5 linked regions of the Macaca fascicularis genome follow. The protein of the gene in region 2 interacts with the protein of the main gene of each other region in a pairwise test. Links are inferred from orthologs where the notes say so. Each region holds a gene or a part of one and is shown on either strand. Other genes may lie near its edges.

What was found.
Region 1: the proteins of FATE1 (region 2) and BNIP2 interact in binary tests that used the Homo sapiens proteins (3 or more experiments, as listed by UniProt). The two-hybrid records come from large-scale screens. The link is inferred for Macaca fascicularis from reciprocal best matches to the Homo sapiens genes FATE1 and BNIP2.
Region 3: the proteins of FATE1 (region 2) and RPRM interact in binary tests that used the Homo sapiens proteins (3 or more experiments, as listed by UniProt). The two-hybrid records come from large-scale screens. The link is inferred for Macaca fascicularis from reciprocal best matches to the Homo sapiens genes FATE1 and RPRM.
Region 4: the proteins of FATE1 (region 2) and SEC22C interact in binary tests that used the Homo sapiens proteins (3 or more experiments, as listed by UniProt). The two-hybrid records come from large-scale screens. The link is inferred for Macaca fascicularis from reciprocal best matches to the Homo sapiens genes FATE1 and SEC22C.
Region 5: the proteins of FATE1 (region 2) and TMEM11 interact in binary tests that used the Homo sapiens proteins (3 or more experiments, as listed by UniProt). The two-hybrid records come from large-scale screens. The link is inferred for Macaca fascicularis from reciprocal best matches to the Homo sapiens genes FATE1 and TMEM11.

What each region holds. Positions count from the first base shown.
Region 1 is NC_088381.1:36,168,756-36,173,418, reverse strand, and holds the start of BNIP2 (BCL2/adenovirus E1B 19 kDa protein-interacting protein 2), read left to right. Parts: upstream 1-1,329; 5' UTR 1,330-1,515; intron 1,516-4,663.
Region 2 is NC_088395.1:157,778,382-157,783,086, forward strand, and holds the start of FATE1 (fetal and adult testis-expressed transcript protein), read left to right. Parts: upstream 1-1,770; 5' UTR 1,771-2,740; coding exon 2,741-2,846; intron 2,847-3,888; coding exon 3,889-4,016; intron 4,017-4,705. UniProt on the Homo sapiens protein: Involved in the regulation of endoplasmic reticulum (ER)-mitochondria coupling. Negatively regulates the ER-mitochondria distance and Ca(2+) transfer from ER to mitochondria possibly implicating it in the regulation of apoptosis.
Region 3 is NC_088386.1:48,950,673-48,954,714, reverse strand, and holds RPRM (protein reprimo), read left to right. Parts: upstream 1-1,527; 5' UTR 1,528-1,776; coding exon 1,777-2,106; 3' UTR 2,107-3,008; downstream 3,009-4,042. UniProt on the Homo sapiens protein: May be involved in the regulation of p53-dependent G2 arrest of the cell cycle. Seems to induce cell cycle arrest by inhibiting CDK1 activity and nuclear translocation of the CDC2 cyclin B1 complex.
Region 4 is NC_088376.1:105,428,341-105,433,061, forward strand, and holds the start of SEC22C (vesicle-trafficking protein SEC22c), read right to left. Parts: upstream 3,335-4,721; 5' UTR 3,200-3,334; intron 3,006-3,199; exon of another isoform or gene 2,873-3,005; intron 1-2,872. UniProt on the Homo sapiens protein: May be involved in vesicle transport between the ER and the Golgi complex.
Region 5 is NC_088390.1:20,636,539-20,641,264, reverse strand, and holds the start of TMEM11 (transmembrane protein 11, mitochondrial), read left to right. Parts: upstream 1-1,392; 5' UTR 1,393-1,401; coding exon 1,402-1,463; intron 1,464-4,287; exon of another isoform or gene 4,288-4,577; coding exon of another isoform or gene 4,578-4,579; intron 4,580-4,726. UniProt on the Homo sapiens protein: Plays a role in mitochondrial morphogenesis.

The sequences.
Region 1 (4,663 bases), on a different chromosome or scaffold from region 2:
TCTCTCTCTTTTTTTTTTTTTTTTAAAGAGATGGGGTCTTGCCATGTTGCCCTGAGGTCTAGCCATCTACCCGACTCGGCCTCTCAAAGTGCTGGGATTAGAGGCACGCCCAGCTGAGAGAGACTATGATGTTCTCCAAACAAATCTCATTTGGTTGAAACTGTACAGCTGAGTATAGTCTAATTTGAGTAGTTTACCTTGAGTACTCTAACCATGGTCTATAGACCTGGCTCTTTTGAGAACTGTTTGTAAATTGTCTGCAGAGAGACAGTAGAAAACTCTATGGCAATTTTGCAGGTAATTTTATGGCTGTTAACTCTAACGATAAAAAGTTTTGACTTGGACTTTGTATGCCTTTTCATTTTTCTGTTTTATCAACTTGTGGTCAACAACTAATCGAAAATTTTTACAAAATAAACGGACCGTTCCCCCAGTGAAGAGAAGCACTGCTATGAAGCTGTTCACACGCAAATATTACCAAACTCCAAGGTCACTTTTGAGGCCTAGCTCCCCAAAATGAGGCCTCGGATATTTTTCCTCCCTTTATTTCTTTTCTCTTTTCATTTTTTCCCCCTTTTTCCTTTTTTTGAGACGGAGTTTTTGCTCTGTTGTCCAAGCTGGAGTGCAATGGCACGATATCGGCTCACTGCAAACTCCGCCTCCGTCTCTTCAGTAGTTGGGATTACAGATGCGCGCCACCACGCCCAGCTAGTTTTTGTACGTTTGGTAGAGACGAGGGATCACCAAGTAGGCCAGGCTGGTCTCGAACTCTTGACCTCCGGTAATCCACGCGCCTCGCCCTCCCGAAGTGCTGGGATTACAGGCATAAGCCACCGCGCCCGGCCTCCTCCCCTTATTTCATCCACTTCACAATTCACATTATTATTGAACGTTGATAATTGCACCTATCGTAATGATACTGATAATTGCACCTGTTGTAATAATATTGATATTGATAATTGCACCTATTGCATTACAATATTATTATTGATATCCATAATTTCACCTACTGTAATGATCAATAAAGACAGGCAGAAAGAAAACAAAAATAACTGAGACTACTGGACAGCGTCCCTGCGGACAGCAAAGACTGAAGAAACGCCTTGAGGCGCAGTAACGCCACCAATAAGGAGTCGCCGCGACGGTTCCGCCCAGAGGCAAGGAAGGCCCACCCCTGGCGGGCAAGCGAGAGCGCTAGCTCGTGGCGTCTGAGCGGGTGGGGATATGCCGTGTGGGTTTCAAGAAGACGCCACGCCTCCGCCGCCACCACGCCTCCGGCTGCCGCTCCCGGAGGAGGCCGGGATGTTATCACTTCCGCCGGGGCCTCTCACTGCGTCCGGGTCAGCTGTTGCCGCCGCCGCCGTGCCGCTGCGGCCGAGGGATTGGGCTGGGGTCTCCACCGCCGAGCGAGGGGAGCGGGCTCCGCTCGGCGCTGCTTTTTACGACCTGGCCGTCAGCCCCACGTCGCCGGCCTGGAGGGGCGAAGAGGACGAGGGGGCCAAGGCTTCCTCCGGGGTGAGTGCGGCCTGGGAGGACTTGGCACCGTGGCTCCGTAGCTGGACTGGGAACCGGCCTAGGGGCGCAAGTCTGTCGGGCGCGTGCCCACGACGTCCGCGGAGAGGAAACCCAGAGAGTTATCCTTGGTAGGGGGGAGCCATAGAACCTGCTCGGAAGGCGCTTCCTGGATCTCCGCCCAGTTTAGGTCCCCGCCCTTGGCTCGGGTCCTGTTTGTATTTGGCAGTTTGGCCCCCCACCCCACCCCTTTTCCGTTTCTGGTAGTTGTGCTCGGGATGGAACCTTGCCCTTCCTCCACTCCTTTTTTACCCTGGTGTGGGTGAAGTTGCGGGGCTACGATGGTTCAGTATTTATGACCAGCGTCCGTCCTGGTGCAGAACAAAGAAACTTGGACCTCTGGTATGCCTCGTAACCTCGGGGAATAGACACGGAAGCAGCATAAGTAATCAGGGCTTTAATAGATCTTCCCGAGTACGCTCAACCAAATACAGAGTGTGTACGTCAAAAGCCGAGTCCCCGCGTGAATCTAGACACTACCTTTTCTGTTTAAATACCTGGCAAAATGGTTTGGATTTCTGGATGCATCTCATGTCTCTGGAGTTACTTGTCTGTGTGTCCTGTGAGCTCTTTGAGGGCACAGCTTTTGCGGTGTTCGTCAAGATAGTCACAGTGCCTCCTATTTATTTAGTTGAATAAACTATGTGATTGCATTTTAGTGTTGCTTTTTTCATTCGCAGCTTCTCTTGATTAGGATCTCTATTTCACCTAACACCTGATTTCTTATTTTCAATTAAATGTAGTTTTTCTAATAGTTTATAGGAATCTCTGCAGTTGTAGAAACAAATTCCGTAATTTGTAAATCGCTGTTTCCTCAAAATTACAACTGATGTTACTCAGTTAAGTTACCCCTGCAGACTAGTTTTTCATCATTTTGCACATATTCTTAGTTCTTGTTGTTTTATATTTTTTCTAAACTCTTTTCCTAGTCTTCGTAATCTCTAGTGCAGCCCAACACTGTTGGGCTCAGACAGGAAGTATGACAGATCCACTTCTGCAAACGGAACTTGAACTAGATTATCGTAAGTCAGTGCTATTATGGCCTTCAGGCACTACAAGACCTTTGAAGCTAAGTGCAACCAAATCAGGCATGACAGGCTTATTCTGTATACAGTTGCCAGTGCACTGCTGACGGTGTGCTATATTAGAAACAGTTCTGGACTAGATATGGAGACCAAGATGTCGTGTCATTGCCTCATATATAAGATACAATGATGATAACACAAGTGTCATGCATCCCAAAGTTGCTGGTTGGAATATGAGATGATGGACGTGAAAGTGGTTAGTACATGTGGAAAGCACTCTGGAAAAGTTCTGTTCATTCTGTCTGGAGTAATGCTGGTAGAAGGAGCAATAGGGAGAAAGGCGTCAGAGAAAGTATATGTAACCAGATCTAGTAAGTTACAGGGCTGATAGTAGATAAAAGATGTCTTGTTACTTTGGGTGGCCAAGGTGGGCAGATCACCTGAGGTCAAGAGCAAAAAATGATAAAGCAATGAGATGAGACAAGCTTGGCCAATGTGATGAAACACCGTCTCTACTAAAAATACAAAAATTAGCCAGGCATGGTCGCATATGCCTGCAATCCCAGCTACTCGGGAGACAGAAGTACAAGAATCGCTTGAACCCAGGAGACGGAGGCCGCAGTGAGCCGAGATTGCAGCACTGCACTCCAGCCTGGGCAACAGAGTGTGACTTCGTCTCAAAAAAAAAAGATGTCATGTTATGTTTACATCTTATAAAGCAGAATACTAGTATAATGTGACAGTAATATTCCACAATTATAGTTTTTTATTGCAACTGATATTTCTAACTACAACAAACTGAGACATCAGTTAGTAGACTTTATCTTTTTAAAGGTCGCAGCGTTTTCAGTATGTTCTGCATAGTGATAATAAATGTAACTTTTGTAGGTGGCACAATCATCTTTTGCCATATTTTCACAATTTTGAGAGAAGTCAGCACCATTCTAGTTTTTCCTCTAAATTTTGTGTTAACGTTTATTTTATTTTATTTAGTTTTTTTGAGATGCGCTCTTGCTGTGTCGCCCAGGCTGGAATGCAATGGCACGATCCCCGCTCACTGCAACCTTTGCCTCCCAGGTTCAAGCGATTCTCCTGCCTCAGCCTCCCTGATCACTGGGATTACAGGCCAGTGCCACCACTCCCGGCTAATTTTTGTATTTTTAGTAGAGATGGGGTTTCACCATGTTGGCCAGGCTGGTCTTGAACTCCTGACGTCAGGTGATCCGTCCGCCTCAGGCTCCCAAAGTGTTGGGATTACAGGTGTGGGCCACCACGCCCGACTTGTGTTAACATTTCTGATAGAGCATCTCATTTCATTGTTTAAAAACTATATACCCTCAAGGGAGCAATGAGAAGCACAGATCTAGGATTTTTTCAAGGATGTTTGGTGATCTAAACGTACAGGCTGTTCGTTAAAAAGTGAACATGAGTGTTTAGGATGAAACCTTTTTGTTTAAATGGGGAAGTGAAAGGCTTGCCTGGGCATTTCCATATGCCTACTGTAATTGATTTCAGCATAAACGGTTGTTACTGGCACCTATTGCAGCAGCAGTGTTAAAGTATGTATAGTAAAATCACCACATATAATTGTGTTATAATTAAACAGTTCTAATGTGATCTTAAAAAAAACATTGTAGAGACAGATCTCACTATGTGGCCCAGCTAGGCTTGAACTTCTGGGCTTAAACCATCTTCCCACCTTGTCCTCCCAAGGTGTTAGGATTACAGGAATGAGCCACTGAGCCTGGCCTAAATGTGATCTTAACATTTAATTTTTGCTTATGTTGCTAAACTGCCTGGGAAAAGCTTCTTCATCTTGATTGGATTTATCAGTACTCCTCCCCCTTGAAGCGATGTCAGAAGGAATCAATTGTCTCTTTGATTTTTAACCTAAGATAAACAACTGCTTTGAATTTATCTTTATGACTGCAATAGGTGAGTGGCATAAGTAAGGATATACCACCACTACCAAGAGTCAACTTGAGAAATCAAGTTATTCCTGTGCCAACAGGTTATTTTAACAAATATCGGCCGGGCGCGGTGGCTCAAGCCTGTAATCCCAGCAC
Region 2 (4,705 bases):
GTATGTTCTGGACCCTTCCTTCCCCTATGAAGAAGCATCTCTCGAACCTCTGGGTGAGCAGGGCCTTCCACTGGAGTGTTAGGGCTCTGCAGTCTGTTGTCTGCAATTGGCCTTGTGCCATCTTCCTGGACCCAGGCACCGTGTAAGACTTGAAAGATCTCCCTCTGTATCGCAGGTGCTCTAGTCCTTCGGGCCCCTGAGGTTAGCACCCAGACTTTGGGGTAGGGGGCTTTTCAGAATGGTTGGAGTACGAATTTCGGGCCATTTCAAAAGGAGATTACTGTGTAAATTACAATTATGAAATTATAATTAGCTAACATGCTAAGAGACAAATTCAAAGGCACATTAAACTCTCTGTCACCTCCAAGTTGTCTTTGGCACTCAATCCAAGCGGGGAAGGCACGCTAAGGGGGTGAGATGTTGGGGTTTCTGAGTGGCCTTGGGGGTTCAGGGGTTGGGAAGGAATTCTCCCACCCTCTTTGCTTGGCTTTAGGTGGTGGATTCTTATGCCACCAGGGGGCAGTGCCTCCACATGCACCTGGACCCTGTGCTCCTGTGCCCAAGAAGCCCCACCAGGGTCAGTTGATAACTAGACAGAAATCTGGCCTCCATAGCCTGAGGCCCTGTGGCAAGCCAGTGCCTACACTACTGTAGCTTTGCTGACTTCTGAGTGCTCCTCACAATCCAGCCACCCTGTAGGGAGGCTTGTCCATGGTGGAGACTGACACCAAAAGAAGGGAGAAACTTGCTCGAGGTAAAATCTTGAGGTCATAGTGAGATAAGATTGTCAGATAGAATACAGGATATGCAGCTAAATTTCAATGTTAGATCAACCCATGAATCCTTTTTTTAGTGTAAATATGTCCCAAAGGTTAGTGTACAAGAGAGAATACTTACACTACAAATGTAGTATAAGTACAGATGTGTTGTTTATCTGAAATTTAAATGTACTTCGTATCTGTATTTTCATTTGCTCAATCTGGCAACCTTGGCTGGGCTTCCCAGGCTCCTGAATCCCACTAAGCTGAGCACACTCAGTAGTTTCTCTGCTCCCAAGGTGGCCCTCCAGAAAGCTCAAATTTCATCGCAGCTGCTCCACTAGATCTGGGAAGGGCTTCTTTGGGGCCCCCAGGAATGCAGGCAGGGCCTATATCAGCTCTGCTTCCCAAGAGCTCGGCCCCAGCGCTGGACAGGTGAGGTGGGGGCAGGGGACAGGCAGCCTCAGACCATGCTGCCCTATCTCAGCTAGTTCTGACCCCTTCCTTTGCACTCCCTCTCCTTCCTTCCTTCCTTCCTTCCTTCCTTCCTTCCTTCCTTCCTTCCTTCCTTCCTTCCTTCCTTCCTCTTTTCCTCCTTCCTTCTTTCCTTCCTTCCTTCCTCCCTTCCTCTTTTCCTTCCTTCCTTCCTTCCTTCCTTCCTTCCTTCCTTCCTTCCTTCCTTCCTTCCTCCCTTCCTCTTTTCCTCCTTCCTTCCTCCTCTTTATCCCACCTGACCCAAGGGCTCTGGGGGAAGAAGAGGCTATTTCTAAAAGGAACGTTTTATAAACCTGTCCTGATTCCTTTCACAAATAGCCTCCTATTCCCCCAGGGGCTCTGGGGTTGTTTCCTAGAATGAAGGGTTCACCACAGGTCGTGTAGCAATCAGTGTTTTCCAGAGAAACATAACTGATAGGATGTATATATGTATGTATGTATATATGTATATATCTGCATATGCACAAGTATATATACATTTATTTTAATAAATTGACTTATGCAATTGTGGGGCTGACAAGTCTGAAATGTGCAGGGCAGCCTGGCAGGCTGGCAACTCAAAGAAGAGTTGACACTGCAGTCCTGGGGTAGAATTACCTCTACTTTGGGAAACCTCAGTCTTTGCTCTTCAGGCCTCTCAGTTGATTGTGTGAGACCAACCCACATCATCGAGGATGTGTCTCTACTTTACTTCAAGTCCACTGGTTGTAGATGCCAACCACAGCTACAAAATGCCTCCACAGCAACACCTAGACTAGTGTTTGAAGGAGTCACTGGGGACTAGAACCTGGCCAGGTGACACATAAACCTGACCATCACAGTGGTCTAATCAGTAGGGAAACTGAGGGAGAATTGGGACTTAGAAGGTGCAAGGCCTGAGGCCCCTGGGAGTTCTAGTGGCTGCAGTCAGGTCCCACCTCTCTTACCCTTCTCTCCCTTTGTTCTCATGGCTCCTGCCTAGTCTGACCTACTTCAGAAAAAGGCTACCTCCCATGTCTGGGGACTCTGGATGGGGGAGGTAGGATATGCTCTCCAGAGAATCTCTTCTGAAGGTGTGGTATGGCCTGGATTGCTAGGACCTAACTCTGCTGTAGCCACTGCCTGGCTCTTGGACCCTGTGCCAATCCCTGTTTCTTCATAGAAATGATGGAGGGTAGACCCTACCCTTCCCCCCATGGGCTAAATATGGAGATTCATGAGCCAGAGCAGTTCTCACAGTCAAAGGCATGGAATTGTATCTCTTCTCCTAAGTTGCTTACAGAGTAGCAAGGAGAAGGCCACGGACCTAGCCAACAAGATACAATAGAAACAGAAAGTGCTGAGTCCAAGGCCTCAGCCTAGAGAGGGAGTCTTGCTCCACCCCCAGGTCTGACTATATCTTCCTTGAGCTCCTGTTCCAGGAAGAGGTGATTTTCTGAGTGTGACTCCTCTGTTCCTGGCACCCTGTACATCCTTAGCCATAGCTTACAAGTGAACAGCTGGTTGTGATGGCAGGAGGCCCTCCCAACACCAAGGCAGAGATGGAAATGTCCCTGACAGAAGAATTGAATCATGGACGCCAAGGGCAAAACCAAGAGCACCTGGTGATAGCGGGTGAGGATCCCCTAAAATACCCCTAGGCTACAGCCAACTGTGTAGATACATGTCTGTACCTGTGCATGTGTGTGTTGGGAAAGGTGCATGTGTGCATGGAAGTGTTTGCACATCTGTGTGTTGGGCGGGCTTTGAGGATTTGTGGGTTGATGGTAAGGGATCTAGGAGAAAAGGGATAGATGATGTGAGCATTTTGCCCTGGGAGGGAGGAGGATGGGAACAACATGTGTGGTCCCTCTGTCTTCCCCTTGTCCAAGCCACCACAGTGTCTGTTGCAAAATACTCAGAGGGCTCAAATTATGAGACCAGAGATCAATTCTCTCTCCCAACCCTCGAATTCATTTTCCTGCCATTTGGAGGAAAATCCAGACTCCATGATCTATAAGATTGTATCAGCCTCCTCAAAACATTTCATACTATGATATAGACAGAAAATACCATTTCTATAGCACACAAAGGGATCCAGATCACATTGCATTTATGTTTGTTCTTACAATGCTCCAAGCCTGCTTCTTCCCCAAAGACCTTGCATTTGCTGTTTCCTCTGTCTGGAATGCTCTTTCCCTCAATTTCCCAGGGCTGGGTCCTTTATTTTTTTCAGGTCCCTGCCTCAATTGTTGTCTCCTACTTTTCTAGAAGGAGCCCTTTCCTTCCACTATGTTACCCTGTTTTGATCATTTATGGAGCCTGCATCTCTCTGTCTGCATTTGCAAGGATAGACCTTCTGTTTTACACCTGTCATTCACTCTTATACACAAAACAGATGGTCAGTTCCTTGATAGCTGGAATCTTGTTCTTGGTCATTGCTCTCTAGATTACTGGAGAGTAACCTAGTCTCGAGCTGAGCCCTCAGGATTCTTGTTTAACTTTTGAACAGATGAACAAACTGAGACCTGGGATCAGCTGGTGGACAGTGGTTAATGGGTGCTGAGTGATTCCCAAGAAAGCTGGGGACTCTGTCTTCTTTTTGGTGTGTTTTGTGCCCAAGAAGCCCTGGTACAACTTCTATGGGTGCTCCTGGGGTCTCTGTTCTTCTCTCTAGAAATGATGGAGCATGGATCTCGGTCCCTGGGTGCCTCCCAGAAGAGGCAGAAGTTGGAACAAAAAGCTGCTGGCTCTGCTTCAGCGAAACGAGTTTGGAATATGACTGCCACCCGATCCAAGAAAATGGTACTGCATGGGGTCCTCAGCACATGTTGGCCAGGTTGGGGTTGGGAGTACTGGTTGTAGGGGCTGTAGCCTGACCAGGTCAGGCAGGGCTAGACATTGACTTGTGAGGAGGAGGAAGCTCCTGTATTCCAAGCTGGCAAATGAGGACAGAAAGGTCAGGGTCATCCTTTCCTATGCTTGGGATGCAACCTTGGGAGTTCAGAATGCCTGAAACAAATATTGCATGGGGAGTACATAAATATTTCACTCTGTAAATCCATTGTGTGAAATAACGCTTCCTGTATTTAAAATTGTGTGTGTGGTGCGTGTGTGTGTATACACACAATAACTCAGGTGAGGCTCCTACGCTTTCTGGCTGTTAAGAAATCCAGTCAAGTCGTCTGGCATGGTGGCTCATGCCTGTAATCTGAGCACTCTGGCAGGAAGAGGTGGACGGATCACTTGAGGCCAGGAGTTGGAGAACAGTCTGGCCAGCATGGTGAAACCTTGTCTCTACTAAAAATACAAAAATTAGCTGGGCATGGTGGCACATGCCTGTAATCACAGCTACTCAGGAGGCTGAGGCATGAGAATCGCTTGAACCTAGCAAGCAGAGGTTGCAGTGAGCTGAGATCATGCAACTGTACTCCAGTCTGGGCAACAGAGCAAGAGAAAGAAAGGAAGAGAGAGAGAGAGAGAGAGACAGAGAG
Region 3 (4,042 bases), on a different chromosome or scaffold from region 2:
CCAGAAGGCATTTCATTCTATTTTATTATAGTCATGAAGCAGTGCAAAAACATTTAAGGAACACTCTGAAGATGGAATAAATAACGTTTTAAGAAACAGAAATAAGAGGATTTACCAAGCAAACAGAATGAAATTTAGAGTTGAAAATGGCAAGATAGCTGCTTTTCAGTTTTATTTTATTTTTAATTGACAAACAATTGTACATATTTATGAGGTACAAAGTGATATTTTGATACACATATACATTGTGGAATGATCATATCAGAGTAATTAGCGTACCCATTATCTCGAATTTTTATCAGTTCTTTGTGGTGAGAACATTTAATAGAAAATAAATGTATTCTGTTGAAAGCTCAAGTTACTGGTTTCCAGCTGTTACAGCTGAAAGAAAGAGGGAGGAAGGCAGGGAGTAATGGGGAAAAGGAGGGAGGGAAAAGAAAATAGAAAAGGGGGCGCGGGATCATGCAGTATTCTTTCAGAGTTAAGAAACTTAATCTATAGGTTTATAAAATTTCATTGGAACCTACGGCAAAATCACAATGGCTGAAGCGTCAATCAGGCCCATACAAACATCTGTGTTTAGTTTAAATGACTAAGGGTGAAACGCATCAGCTTATGGAAAATGGGGAGGGCTCCCAGCATTTGGCCAGCGTTTTAGGTGATGGATGTTGATGAGCAATTCCTTTAAACAACTGATTTACTGCCAATGGACAAAATGCTGGAAGCACATCCAAAAATTCATCTGCAATTAAAATTACAAGCAAGTGGTCACTGTGTTCACTTCCTTTACCAGAGAGGTGACCCCTGCTCCCGGCAACCACCTCCACCCAAGGGCCACAGAAGAACTCCTCCTTCCTCTAACCCCCTTTCCTTGGCCTCACACCTCATGATAAAATCTGCCTTGCTCTGTCTCCCAATCGCTTTTGTAAAGGAAGTTGAGTGTAGAGCTCTTTTTTCTCCCTCCCTTCCTTTTTTCTTTCTTTCCTTCCTTCCTTCCTTCTTCCATGCCTTTCTGTCTTTCCAAATTCATTACTTTGTAAGAAACATTCTCAGATCACCTCCACTCCACCAGAAATCCAACGCAGGCGAGACGGAGTCAAGCACAGGCGGTGGGCGGGTGGCCTCAGCTGGCACCATCTGGCACCTGGGATTCATCGCCACTTTCCATCAGCCCAGAGGTCAGGGGGGCAGCCGGCAGAGGACACGCAGAGCTCGTGTGTCCCAGTTCCTCTGAAACTTTCAGCTGACCGCACCCTCCCCCGCCAAACTCTTTTAATCATCCATCAAGCTAGAAGAGTACGATGACCTCTGCCTGGCCTTTGGAGTTTGCAAAAGAAGAAAGCAATAAAAAGCAAGACCAGGTTCGCCCCTTTGCTTCCTCCACCGCCCAAGAGTAGCGCGCAGCGCGGCGGTGCGGCCGGAAGGGGCCGCTGTTTACTCAGTGCAGCCGCCCCGCCGCTGCAGCCGCCGCTGCCCGCACCTCCCACGGCCGGGCTGGTCCAGCCCCACCAAGTTCCAACAGCCCCCAGTCGAGCGAGCGCCGGGAACGAGCACCGCCCGGGCTGGAGCGGACGGCTTTAGAAGAGCCTAGCTGCTGCGCGCGTCGGAGAGGCTCCTGGGAAACTCCCACGGCCCAGGGACTTTCGAAAGCAGAGCTAGGAGCCCTTGCAAGCGCTAGTCTGCGAGTGAGCGCTCAGCTCGGCACCTGTTCCTCCAGCGCCGCCGCCTTCCCACCCCTCGGACCCGCGCCGCTCGCGGCGCCCGCCCGCTCCTGCGATGAATCCGGCCCTGGGCAACCAGACCGACGTGGCGGGCCTGTTCCTGGCTAACAGCAGCGAGGCGCTGGAGCGAGCCGTGCGCTGCTGCACCCAGGCGTCCGTGGTGACCGACGACGGCTTCGCGGAGGGAGGCCCGGACGAGCGCAGCCTGTACATAATGCGCGTGGTGCAGATCGCCGTTATGTGCGTGCTCTCACTCACCGTGGTCTTCGGCATCTTCTTCCTCGGCTGCAATCTGCTGATCAAGTCCGAGGGCATGATCAACTTCCTCGTGAAGGACCGGAGACCGTCTAAGGAGGTGGAGGCAGTGGTCGTGGGGCCCTACTGACCCGCCCCTCCGCCCCCGCGGCAACCGCTCCCACGCCTGCCCACTTTGCCAGCCCGGCTGTGCCCCTCACTGTCAGAGACTGGGCGAAGCAAACCTGTCGGAGTCAATTATTTCTCTCGACTTCGGCCTTCCGGAAAGAAGCGACCGGTTTCTCCCTCGCCCTCTGAAAGTCCTCATGCCTGGCAGTCGGAGGAGAGCGCCCGGACTTCTGGACTCAGCAGAAAGTGGCAAGAAGAAGGCGATTAGGGCGCAGAACTTTGGAAGCTGCTACTTACTTGGAATGCGGGGAGAACGACGGGGCGAAGGCCCTTCTCCACCCGCAGGTGGGCCAAGCTCTGGGGGCAAGTGGAGAGGGAGGGCAGGGGAGAGACCCAGCGGCACTGATCGCCTTGTGACCGGAAAAGTGACCTGTTAAAAGCCACGCAGCAGACATCATGGGGTCTCACAAATCCGTGTCCGGGTGTGCTCCCACTCTTCTCCTGCTCCCCACCAGCCCTGGAGGGGAGAGGCGATAAATACCTTTGATTGTAACGTGCTGTTTTAAGAGGTTTTGTGTTTGTTTGCTTGAATACAAATATTTGATAAGTCTTTTTCTGCCCCAGTGGCCTGTTTGCCTGCCTGAGGGGTTAAAGTTTTGTCGTTGTGGGAGAAGGGGTGGGGGGAGGGGAGCCTGCGACTTTGAGGGGGGTGAGTTGTTTCTTTTAGTGCATTTCCCACTGGGTCTTTTGGGAGGTGTCTAGCGTTCCTGCTGGCCCTGATACAAAGACCCAGAATAGAACTCGTAGCTCGTGACTGCACGGTTTACGCCACAAAAGTGCTCTTGACATCCGTGACACCGTTTTGACTTTTTGTTTTTTTTTCTTATTTAACATTTCCTTAATAAATGCAACATTTAAGCGTTTTGTTCCTGGCCTCCTGGTGGTCATTCTGCGCTCCCCAGCAGTGGGGGAACGGGGCGGCGGTGCAGAGTCTGGCTCCCGGCCAGGGAAATTCACCCTAGAGAGCTGCGATTCAACTTGTGGATCCCATGGAGGGGCGAGGGTGGGGCCAGACGGAGAGGCCCTGGGATGACTGAGACAGAGCCCAGCCTCAGGCACAGTAGCCGTCCTGGAGGTAGCATCCTTTGTTTCCTCTTATCGTGAATATTTTATATTTCATTTAGTCTCAGCTCTCAGATAAGCGAGACTACAGGAGGGCCCCCGCGGGAAGATTACACTTCCGTGCCAGGCTCCGGCGGGAACACAGGATTACACCGCTAATGAAAGGAAGAGAAGGCTTGGACAGCCTTTACGGAGAGCGTCTCTACCCTAACCAACGTCAGCGAGGCGGCTTTGGGATGCTGCCCACGGGCGGGGCCGGGGGAAGGGGAATTATAAAATGCAAGGAAAAGTAGCTGCTAAGGTACACAGTGACGTTAATGCTCCCTGGGGTAAACCATTGTTACTAAAACATGAGATGCATTACTGTCGTTGCTATATTACTTTTTCTGGCAAAAAAAGACCAGGTTAAAATAAAGGTTCAGCCTGTTCTTTGTAATTTAGACTGCCCCAGACCAGGCAAAGGGTTGAGAGGAGTTAGCCGAGGTCCTGAATGTGGGAGATGAGTATTACAACCCCAACTGGGAAGGATATTTGGAGTAGAGCTACAGATGGTCGTTGACATATTTAAGGCTCAGAAATTCAACAGCGTTAGAAAGAAATGCCTAAAAACCGTGCCTCTGAAAATAACCCAAAGGATACAATAGCTTCGAGCATAAACTTGACAAAAGGTTTTGAGCAGTTTATTTTTATGCCTGGGACGGGATCCTAAATATTTTCAAGACTATAAAGAATCCACTAAGATGCTATAGAGCAATTAAAATTTCAAAAACTTCACAATGGCAGCTATAAGAGTAACTAAAATCAAATAACAATAAAGTGTTCCATTTACTCAGAAA
Region 4 (4,721 bases), on a different chromosome or scaffold from region 2:
CTCAAAAAAAAAAAAAAAAAAAAAAAACTAGGGCTGGGCACAGTGGCTCACGCCTGTAATCCCAGCACTTTGGGAGGCCGAGTCGGGCAGATCACGAGTTCAGGATATCAAGACCATCCTGGCTAACACGGTGAAACCCCATCTCTACTAAAAGTACAAAAAAATTAGCCGGGCATGGTAGCAGGCGCCTGTAGTCCCAGCAACTCGGGAGGCTGAGGCAGGAGAATGGTGTGAACCCGGGAGGCAGAAGTTGCAGCGAGCGGAGGTAGAGCCACTGCACTCCAGCCTGGGTGACACAGCGAGACTCCGTCTCAAAAAAAAAAAAAAAAAAAAAAAAAAACTAGGAAAGCAGGCTGAGCATGGTGGCTCATACCTGTTATCCCAGCACTTTGGGAGGCCAAGGTGGGAGGACTGCTTGAGCCCAAGAATTTGAGACCAGCCTGGGCAACACAATGATACCCCATCTCTACAAAAAATTAAAAAAAAAAAAAAAAAAAGCCAGGCATGGTGGCACACACCTGTGGTCCCAGCTACTCGGGAATCTGAGGTGAGAGTCTTGAGCTCAAGAGGTCAAGGCTGTGTGAGCTGTGACTACATCACTGCACTCCAGCCTAGGCAACAAAGTGAGACCCTGTCTCAAAAAAAAAAAAAAAAAAAAAAAAGAAAAGAAAAGAAAAGAAAATCAACTCCACAAGGACAAAGGAAGCTTCAGAATGTTCACACAAAGAGACACTGGAATGTCTTCCAGATCTTAGCAGATCCTTCCACAAGGCAGTGGATGTCATAACCTACCACCTTGCCTGGGACATATTAGGAAGCACTCAGTAAACACTGCTAAGTAAATGAATGAATGACCTAAGGGCTACCTTATTTTTGCTCACTGAAACAAGAAATGCAGGTTTACAGATCCCTTGCCATAATTCTGATCTACAGCTCGAACACTTTTCCACAATAAATCTGTACTTGGAGAGAAAAAGAGAAAGGTTTATACAGATGACATTTGTCTAAAAGTAGAGTGAAGTAGTAATCACATACACAGCATCCGTGTTACTAGTTTTATAAAAATATATTTTAATTTGCCTCCCTTATTTCCTAAATCCTCTTCCGAGCATCTGTTTGTAAACTGCTCATGCCATAGATTATCTCTGGTCTATCAACAAAGACTTTGTGCCTATGCTGCAGGCTACCCTTGTTTCTGTTTTTTCTTCCACCTTTTACCCTTAACCCCTCCTCAAGCCCCTACCACATGCACTGAGAGAGGGAGAGGCTGAGAGAGAGAAACAGAAAGAAAGAGAGAAAGAGAGAGATGACTGCACCTTGCAAAACAGGAATTTAGACAAAACAGGGTTCATTTGGCACACAAATATTCAAACACAAAGTGTTCACCATAAAGTATATACAGAATACAGAAGACTCAAATACACAATACAGAAGACAAAACTGAGTTGTGTCACCCTTACTGAATTCACCTTCAACCACAGGACTTGAGAACTGGTTACCAAATTTGTAGATTCTATTAAGGCTCCAAGTTGCTTGGGGATGGAGTGAACAGGAGGGTAGAGGTCAGTTTTGTCATTTGTTAGGAACTGAGAAGGATAGGGAACTAAACTTGATAGGACCTTTTACACTGATAATGTTATTAAATGCTTGTAACTATAAGGTAGACATAATCTACACTGGCTAGGTGGGAAAACTACAGCTCTAAGGCTCAAGAGGTAGAGCCAGATTCAACCCACACTTCCTTACTTCAAATGTTCTAAAGCTGACGATCTTTCCACCACATCCTTCTTCTATAAATCCAACCTTGGGGATTACAGCTACTCCCTTTCTCTAAAATAATTTCTTCTCCTTAGAGCACTAATAAGCTAATCAGAGACCTGTTGGTAGACGAAGGAGCCTGAGATTACACTTGTTACAACTGCTCTTTATCCACTGTATTACCTTGAAGTCAGGTTGTCCTCTCTCTGACCATGTTACTTTTTGAATATAGTTGATTTCTAAGTTATTCTAAGAATGAAAAAACACTGAGACTCCAAGATGGCTTCTGTTGCAAGTGCAAACACTTAAATCAGAGCTATTAATAACATTATCCAAAATGTACTTTCCAGAAACTCTATTTGTTTATTTAATTCTATCTAGCAACGTTAAACCATTTCCAGTTGCTTCCATTTTTCATTTTACTAAAATTATCTTTAGCGGGATCAACTCTCCTCTGCAAAATGTAATTAAATATTATCCTCTATGTTGGTTCTGAGCTGTATTCTTTTCTGACCATGTCACAAATTTCACCAATTACTTTCCACACTGGCAAGTCTTTCGTGGCTTTGATTTCTACAAACCTAATTTTTCCCCAAGCACTTTATCCTTCTGGCTCTGGAGGTACATGTGTAAATCTGTAATGAACACAAAACCTGTAATGGAACGTCCTACACCCAGTGCTCTGAAAAGTTGGTTCAGTGTATCCAATATTTAAAGTCTTATAACACTGGCATGCTAAGGGAAGTTTGCTATTCAGATTAAACAATGCTCTGACGTGAGATTCGTGAATGGTTAAAGAAATAGTCGTCCCTTTCTCACTCCCCATCTCTTCCAACTGGGAGAAGCCCTCGGCGCCCATCTGTCAGCCCAGGGTTCCCGCAGGCGCGTGTCTTGGGTGGCCCCGGGGTCCAGGGAGAGGCTGGCGGGAGAAAGGGGACAGAGGACTCCAAGAAGCCCAGTGAAGCCCCGTGGGGAGCCCCATGGTCAAGGCCGGGCCTGAGGGCGGGGCTGGCCCTGGGCCGCCTCCACCTCTGGGCCCGCCCTGCGCCACACCCTAACCCGCCTGCTCTCGGCTAACGGGCCGCGGCACCCGCCTCCGCCCGTCAGCCCTCACCTCGCCCCGACGGCGGCCTTCGGAAGTCGGCGCCCGCCAGCTACCCGCCGCCTCCTCAGCAACCTTAGCCGACCGGGCTGCCCCGGCCCAGGTCACCGGCGGCCCAGGCGCAGGTAGGCGGTGGTGCGCGTGCGCGAGCCTTGAGCCCCCATTCGCTGCTGCTAAGCGACACCCGCACCCAAACCGACCAATCCCGGCGCGCCTCCACAGCCCCAGTCCCGGCGAAGGCGCGAAAGTAGTGGTTGTTAAAGGGCTGCGACCCAAACTGAGAGGGAGCGTGACCGGGGCGCGCGCCTCGCAACTTTCTTCCCACCTCTCGGCTCTCACCGCGGCAGTTTGAGGTCCAAGCCTGTAATTCTCACGTCCGGAGATAAGAAGGAGCCTTCGTGGTATAAGCTCGATTCCTGCCGGGGTAGCAACCGGACCGACGTCTGGAGGCGGGGAGGCTCCGCGTGACAGTGTGATACGCCCGGGGCGTGTGTTCTGCGGTCCGCGCGGCTGGGCGGGAGGCCCGAGATAGGCAAACCAAAGAGCACAACCTGCTGCCAGCCTGGATAGGGCGCCAAAGTCCGACCCAGGGGGACACACCCCAAGCTGGGGGCGGAGGCACCCACAAGTGGATGACGGGCTGGAAGGAGATTAGGTAGCAGAGTCCGTCCATTTATTCATTTAGCAAGTATTGAGCACCTGCTGTGTGCCAGGGCTTGTGGACAAAGCGAGGAATTCCTGACAGGAAAAACTATATTAAGAGAGGAGGGCAGGGTGAGAGCACCCTTCAAACAATCAAACACCTGTATAAATACAAATTGTTCTTCAGAGAGGAGCAGGGGTTTTGAGAGAATTTACAGAAGCTTCTAGGCTGGTGTTGGGAATCACAGGAGGCTAACTAGGCAAAGGGGAGAGGAAGTGTGTTTCAGATGGAGAGATCAGCATGTATATAAGGACTCTGTGGAAGGCAGCAGAGCTCCTTTGAGGGATGGAAAGAAACCCAGACAGGGGGTAATGGAAAGTTAGTGCTTAATAGATACAGAATTTCAGCTGGAGAAGATGAAACAGTTCTGGAAATGGTTAGTAGGGATGATCGCACAACAATGTGAATGTACCAAATGCCACAGATCTGCACACTTAAAAATGGTTATGTACATTTTACCAAAAAAGAAAAGAAACTCGGAGTTTAGAGAGTAAAGGAGTAGAGTGAGATCAACTAGAGCAAATAGAAGGAAGGGGCCAGACCATGTAGGATTTTATGGGCCATAGTGGAAAGTTTAGGACCATGGAACACTGATCAAAATTGCATTTTATAAAACTCACTTTGGCTGCTAAAGTGCAGATCAAAATGGAGAAATCTCAATAAAGCTATGGTGGGACTTGCCTGGGAGCCAGTGCAGTCATCTGAGCAAGAGAGAATGGAGCTGGAATGTGGACTGGTGTGAGACTAAAGAAAAAGAGATCTAAGCAGGCTGCAGAGAAATACAGGAGCAAAATCAATAGGACTTGGTGATGAGTTGGATGTGAAGGGGCGATGAAGTAGCTTCAAGGATGAGGCCACTGTTCAGCCATGGATAAATGGATGGATGGTGGAGGGATTCACAGATATGGAGAACACTGGAAGAGGAGATAAAATGGATCTTGAGCTCCATCTTAGACAAGTTGAATTTGAGGCACCTTTGAGACTTGGTTAGGATTTTGCAATGATTCATTTTAGATGTCAACCTGACTAGGTTAAAGGATACTCAGATTCCTGGGGGAACATTATTTCTGGGTATGTCTATGAGGGTGTTCCCAGGAGATATTGGCATTTGAATCAATGCACTGAGTAAGAAAGATCTGTCCTCATCCAATATGGGCA
Region 5 (4,726 bases), on a different chromosome or scaffold from region 2:
TTATGGGGCCAACTAATATGTTTAGCAACGTTGTGTGTGGGAGCAGTAGAGGAACTGAGAAGTTTACAAACTGTAAGAGATCCCCCAAAGAGTCCACAGGTCTGAGGCAGCAGCACCTGGGAATCTCTGGGTTCCAGTTAGTCCTTCCTGACTGACTCGTTACAGCAGTGTCCAGACAAGGAGATGTCAGGTCCTGGGGCAGGGTTCCCGTCAGGTGGGATGGTTTAGCCCCGCATCTGCTTTCAAAGATCCCGAGATTGGCCGGGCGCGGTGGCTCAAGCCTGTAATCCCAGCACTTTGGGAGGCCGAGACGGGCGGATCACGAGGTCAGGAGATCGAGACCATCCTGGCTAACACGGTGAAACCCCGTCTCTACTAAAAATACAAGAAAATTAGCCGGGCGAGGTGGCGGGCGCCTGTAGTCCCAGCTACTCGGGAGGCTGAGGCAGGAGAATGGCGTGAACCCGGGGGGGCGGAGCTTGCAGTGAGCCGAGATCGGGCCACTGCACTCCAGCCTGGGGCACAGAGCAAGACTCCGTCTCAAAAAAAAAAAGATCCCGAGATTATGCCGTCGCAGCGGACAGGACAAGAGTGGGTGCGTGGCAGGGACTGAGTCTGAGGCCTGGAGGCCCTGTCTGAAACAGGGCTGTCGCTGTCGCAGGGCCCTCTCTCCTTCAAGCAGTTATCATACAGCTATTCCCCTTCCTTGCGTTCAGACCCTCTCCTCTAACAGCCTGCACCTGCAAGCAGGGACCTCCGTGGCAGCCGGGACAGCGTGTCTGTCTCGGCCTCCCCAAAGTACCCCGGAGCCTGAATTGGGCGGGGGATGGTGCGGGAGCAGCGCCTGACTCCGAGGAGGACCCGGGCGGCGTCTCCCGCCCCTCGGTGACCTTATGGGCCAAGGCTGTGAAGAGCAGGCGGGGCGACGCGGAGGGGCCGGGCGCTAGAGGCCCGCAAACAGCGCGGCGGTCCCCGGCAGGAGACGCGGCCTGGCGGGCCGGGACGGCGGCGCCGGGCGCCTACGCGCGGTGCTCTGGGAGTTGTAGGCACTTTCCTCTTCTCTCTCCTTCAGCTGGCTGGCTCTCGAAACCCAAGGACCTACCGGTGGGTGGGCGCCTGTGACTCCCAGGCTGCGAACACCGGGAACTCAGTTTCTTCAAAAATGTCTGAACCAGGACTGCTCCTGGGGGTCCTCGCGCCCTCGCAGAAGGACTACGGGACCCGGCGACCCCGGGGGCGGGGCTTCTGGCGCGCTGCCTTGTGGGCGCGGTAGTTCCGCCAGGCCCGGCTTCCGCCTGCCGAGCGTCCCGGGACAGCGGGCCGGACTACACTTCCCGTCGGCCCGCCTGCTCTCCCGATGCCGCCTTGGCGCGAGACGTTGGCAAGCGGAGTGTCTCCAAGATGGCCGCTTGGGGAAGGAGGCGTCTTGGCCCGGGCAGCAGTGGCGGCAGCGCCCGAGAGAGGTGAGATCCAAGGGCTTGTTGCCCACGGTGCAGGCGGCTCAGGGGCCGGAGAGCCCAGCGCGGCCTCCGGGGGCTGCAGCAGCCTTCCTGCCCTGGTATCCCCGGGCTCCCCCGACCCCCGCCTGGCATACGGGGTTCCAGTTCCGGAGGATCCGGGATCCGGGTAGGAGCGAGGTCGAAGGCTTCGGCGGAGAGCTTAGGGGAAGGGGCGTTAGCCGGGCTGGGTAAGGTGGGCAGCGGTCATGCGGGGTGGGGCTCGAGGCCGGGCCGTGCGGAGAGGAACTGGCGCCCAGCGCAGGCCTCAGGGACCCGCTTAGCCGCGGGCTGATCGGCACCCTTCCCGCTTGGCCGCGCGCGTGGCCATCTCGGCCGCGGCGCCCGACGTGGCGAGGAAGGCAGGGCCCCTGGAGAGAGAAAGAAGGTGAAGCCTTCACAGAGCAGGCTGGCCGCGGCAGGGGTAGTTTGATCTGCACGTTTACCAGGGAGCTTTAGCTCCCACCACATGTGTCTCTTCCGGGCCCAGAGCCGTCCACTTCCTCGAGGGGCGATTCTGGAGACTTTTGGATGGTTCTGTGCAAGCGCTCCTGCCGTGGAAGTCAATTAAAGTGACCTTTCCTAATGAATGGTGTGTGGGTAGGGAGCTAGGAGCGTGTTTCTTCCAACAGAGACCTCCATTTGAGTAACTGATTTCTAGAAGATGAGATTGGAGTAGTTTCCGTGTTACATGTTCAAGTTGCAGTTTTTGCTTCTGGGAAGCAGTTTCAGCTAGTGGAAGCCACTAGAAGCTGTTCAGCCGCTAGAAGTTTTGGGAGAGGATGTATATTGGTGGAGCCACCTGGATGAACTATCCGCTAAAGCTTGATTGTTAACAGCAGCGGTCAGCAAAAAAGGAAAGTTTTGGTTTTGCTGTTGTTGTTTTTTTCCCCGTCTCTTTGGTGAAGATTGTCTAACCAGAAAATTTCTCTGCCTGTCAACTACTCTGCATTATTCCTTTTCTATGACTGATTCCATCCCGTGTTCATTGCTATTGCTTGCAGATGGCTTTCCCAGCTGGGAAGATTCTTCCTGTTTGGCAGTTGTGATAGAGTCCGTTAGCTTGCTTGCACTTTATTCTTGAGCCCAGTTATCCAACGTCGCCCATTCTGCATTTCCTCTTCCTTGGAAAAGCAGTGGTAAACACACTTTTGTTTTTTTAACTCCCGCCTGGTATTTCTTAGATTGGACCATTTAAATAAGTTACCTCAGTGGTTTTCAGATGCCCTTAAAAACTAGCAAACATTTTCAAGATATTCAATGCAAACAGTAATAGGAAATAACCTGTTTAGAAAACAAAGTTTTAGAAACGTTCGCCCTCTTGTTGGACTAAAAGCAACTGAAAAGAGCCTTATAGGGATGCCTCAGGCAGGGAGCAGGAGCCTTGCCAGCACAGGTTAAGCTTTTATTGATCTAAGAAAATAGATCCTGAGAATTGTTTTTGCTTTGGCTTGAGACAAGTATTTATTCAAAATGGAGTTGGCAAATCAGCAGTGCATCAGCTGGAGCCAGTGCTTGACTGTTGAACCTCAACAGTTTTTAAGAGAATTTAAATTAGTTGCCAACAGATTTCACATAAAACGCTCCCTGAAAAGCTGGGTAGTGGCTGACTCTTTTTGGTTAGGACAGTGCTCTCCAGTTCTTGGTTCCTCACCTGACAGCTTGACTCAATCACCTGACAGCTTGACTCAATGCATTTACCTGCTTGGTCTCAGGTTGCACCTTTGGCCTGGAACTGAAGGCTCCACTCATACACGCAGATGTTGTGTGTCAGCAGGAATGTGGCATTTGGTTTTGTGGTTTGGATGTCACCATCAACTCTCCTAGATAATGTGGTGTGGGTGGAGACTACCTCTCTGTTTGCTTTTGCTGTAAACCCCTAGCCAGGTTCTGTAGGAAAAGTCATTTGCCCGAGCCCAGCTTCCCTAAGCTCTTTCCATGCTGAGCAGGGGATGGAAACATAACCCGCTGTGTGGCTAGCGAGCTGACTTCTGGGCATCCCTCCATTCCTGCTCAGTTGGTGATGACTGTTCAGGTGGGGCAGGGCGGATTAGCTGATGGCCCAGCACCCTAGATTAGGAGATCTGAGTGTATTATTGGCTCTTATGACTGAAGTAGGCTGTTTATGGCTCTCTTAAATGACTTTGTTCCATGTCACATTTGTGCTGACTCAAATCTCAGCTCCATATTGTACGAGTGCTCTCTCCCGTTGCTGCTCACACCTGGTTAGCATCCGCTTTTGCTGAAGCTGAGGGAAACAGTGTCTGGTTTGGACAAGGGGCTAGAACAGAGCGACGCTTTGGGCAAACTTGCCAGATTTGCCAGCGGCTACCAACTCTGAAGCACGCACTGTACTTAAAGGCCTCACCCAGTGCCAGATTGCCCACAGTATTACTGCCAGCGCTGTGTGTTGGATGGTCCAGCTTAGCGCGTGGTAGCATGTGGGTTCTTGCTTTACCTTGTTGAGTCTAGAACCACAGCTCTAGAATTAGTGCTGAATTAACACAGCAGTTCAGTAGTCACCAGCCACATGTGGCGATTACATTTAAATTCATTAAAATGAAATAAAATGAAGAATTCAGCTCCTCAGTCTCACTAGCCACATTTCAAAGGCTCAATAGCCACTTCTGGCTCGTGGCTACCATATTGGATAGCACAGGTGGAGGACATTTCCATCACTGCAGAAAGTTACGATATGGACAGTGCTGGTTTCGACTAAATTAGGAGGGGTGGAAATAGCAAAATGGTAGTGCTTGCATGTTGATTTTTCTCTCCACTCCATTAAATCTAGGGAACCAACAGTGTTTGTAATGAAGAACATCAGACTCTGAGCTGTAACCTGAATTCTTGTCCAAAATTCAGCACACTGGCAACGAGCACATCAAACAGATTGCCACTTGTCCTGTCGGCGTCTTTGAGACACACTTGCCCATCTAGGAAAGCACAGTGCAGGTATCTGTGTTCTGCCACCGTGTGCCAGCCCGGACCAGCTCACAGACAGCCCCGCCTGTCTTACTTGGGTTGCTTGACTTCACTCTCTCAGGGCCCCTGAACCTCCCTGAGCCCTCCGTGATTGTTGGAATGTGAGTATAGCTGTGTGCTCTGAGTTCCTGTTTTTATAATCATGTGAAGATGTACTTGATCTGCTTCTGAGCATGATACGAGGCAACCTGGGGTGTGCAGAGGGCCAGACGCACTGGGCTAACGGTTCAGGTTTAGGGTGAAGTTAT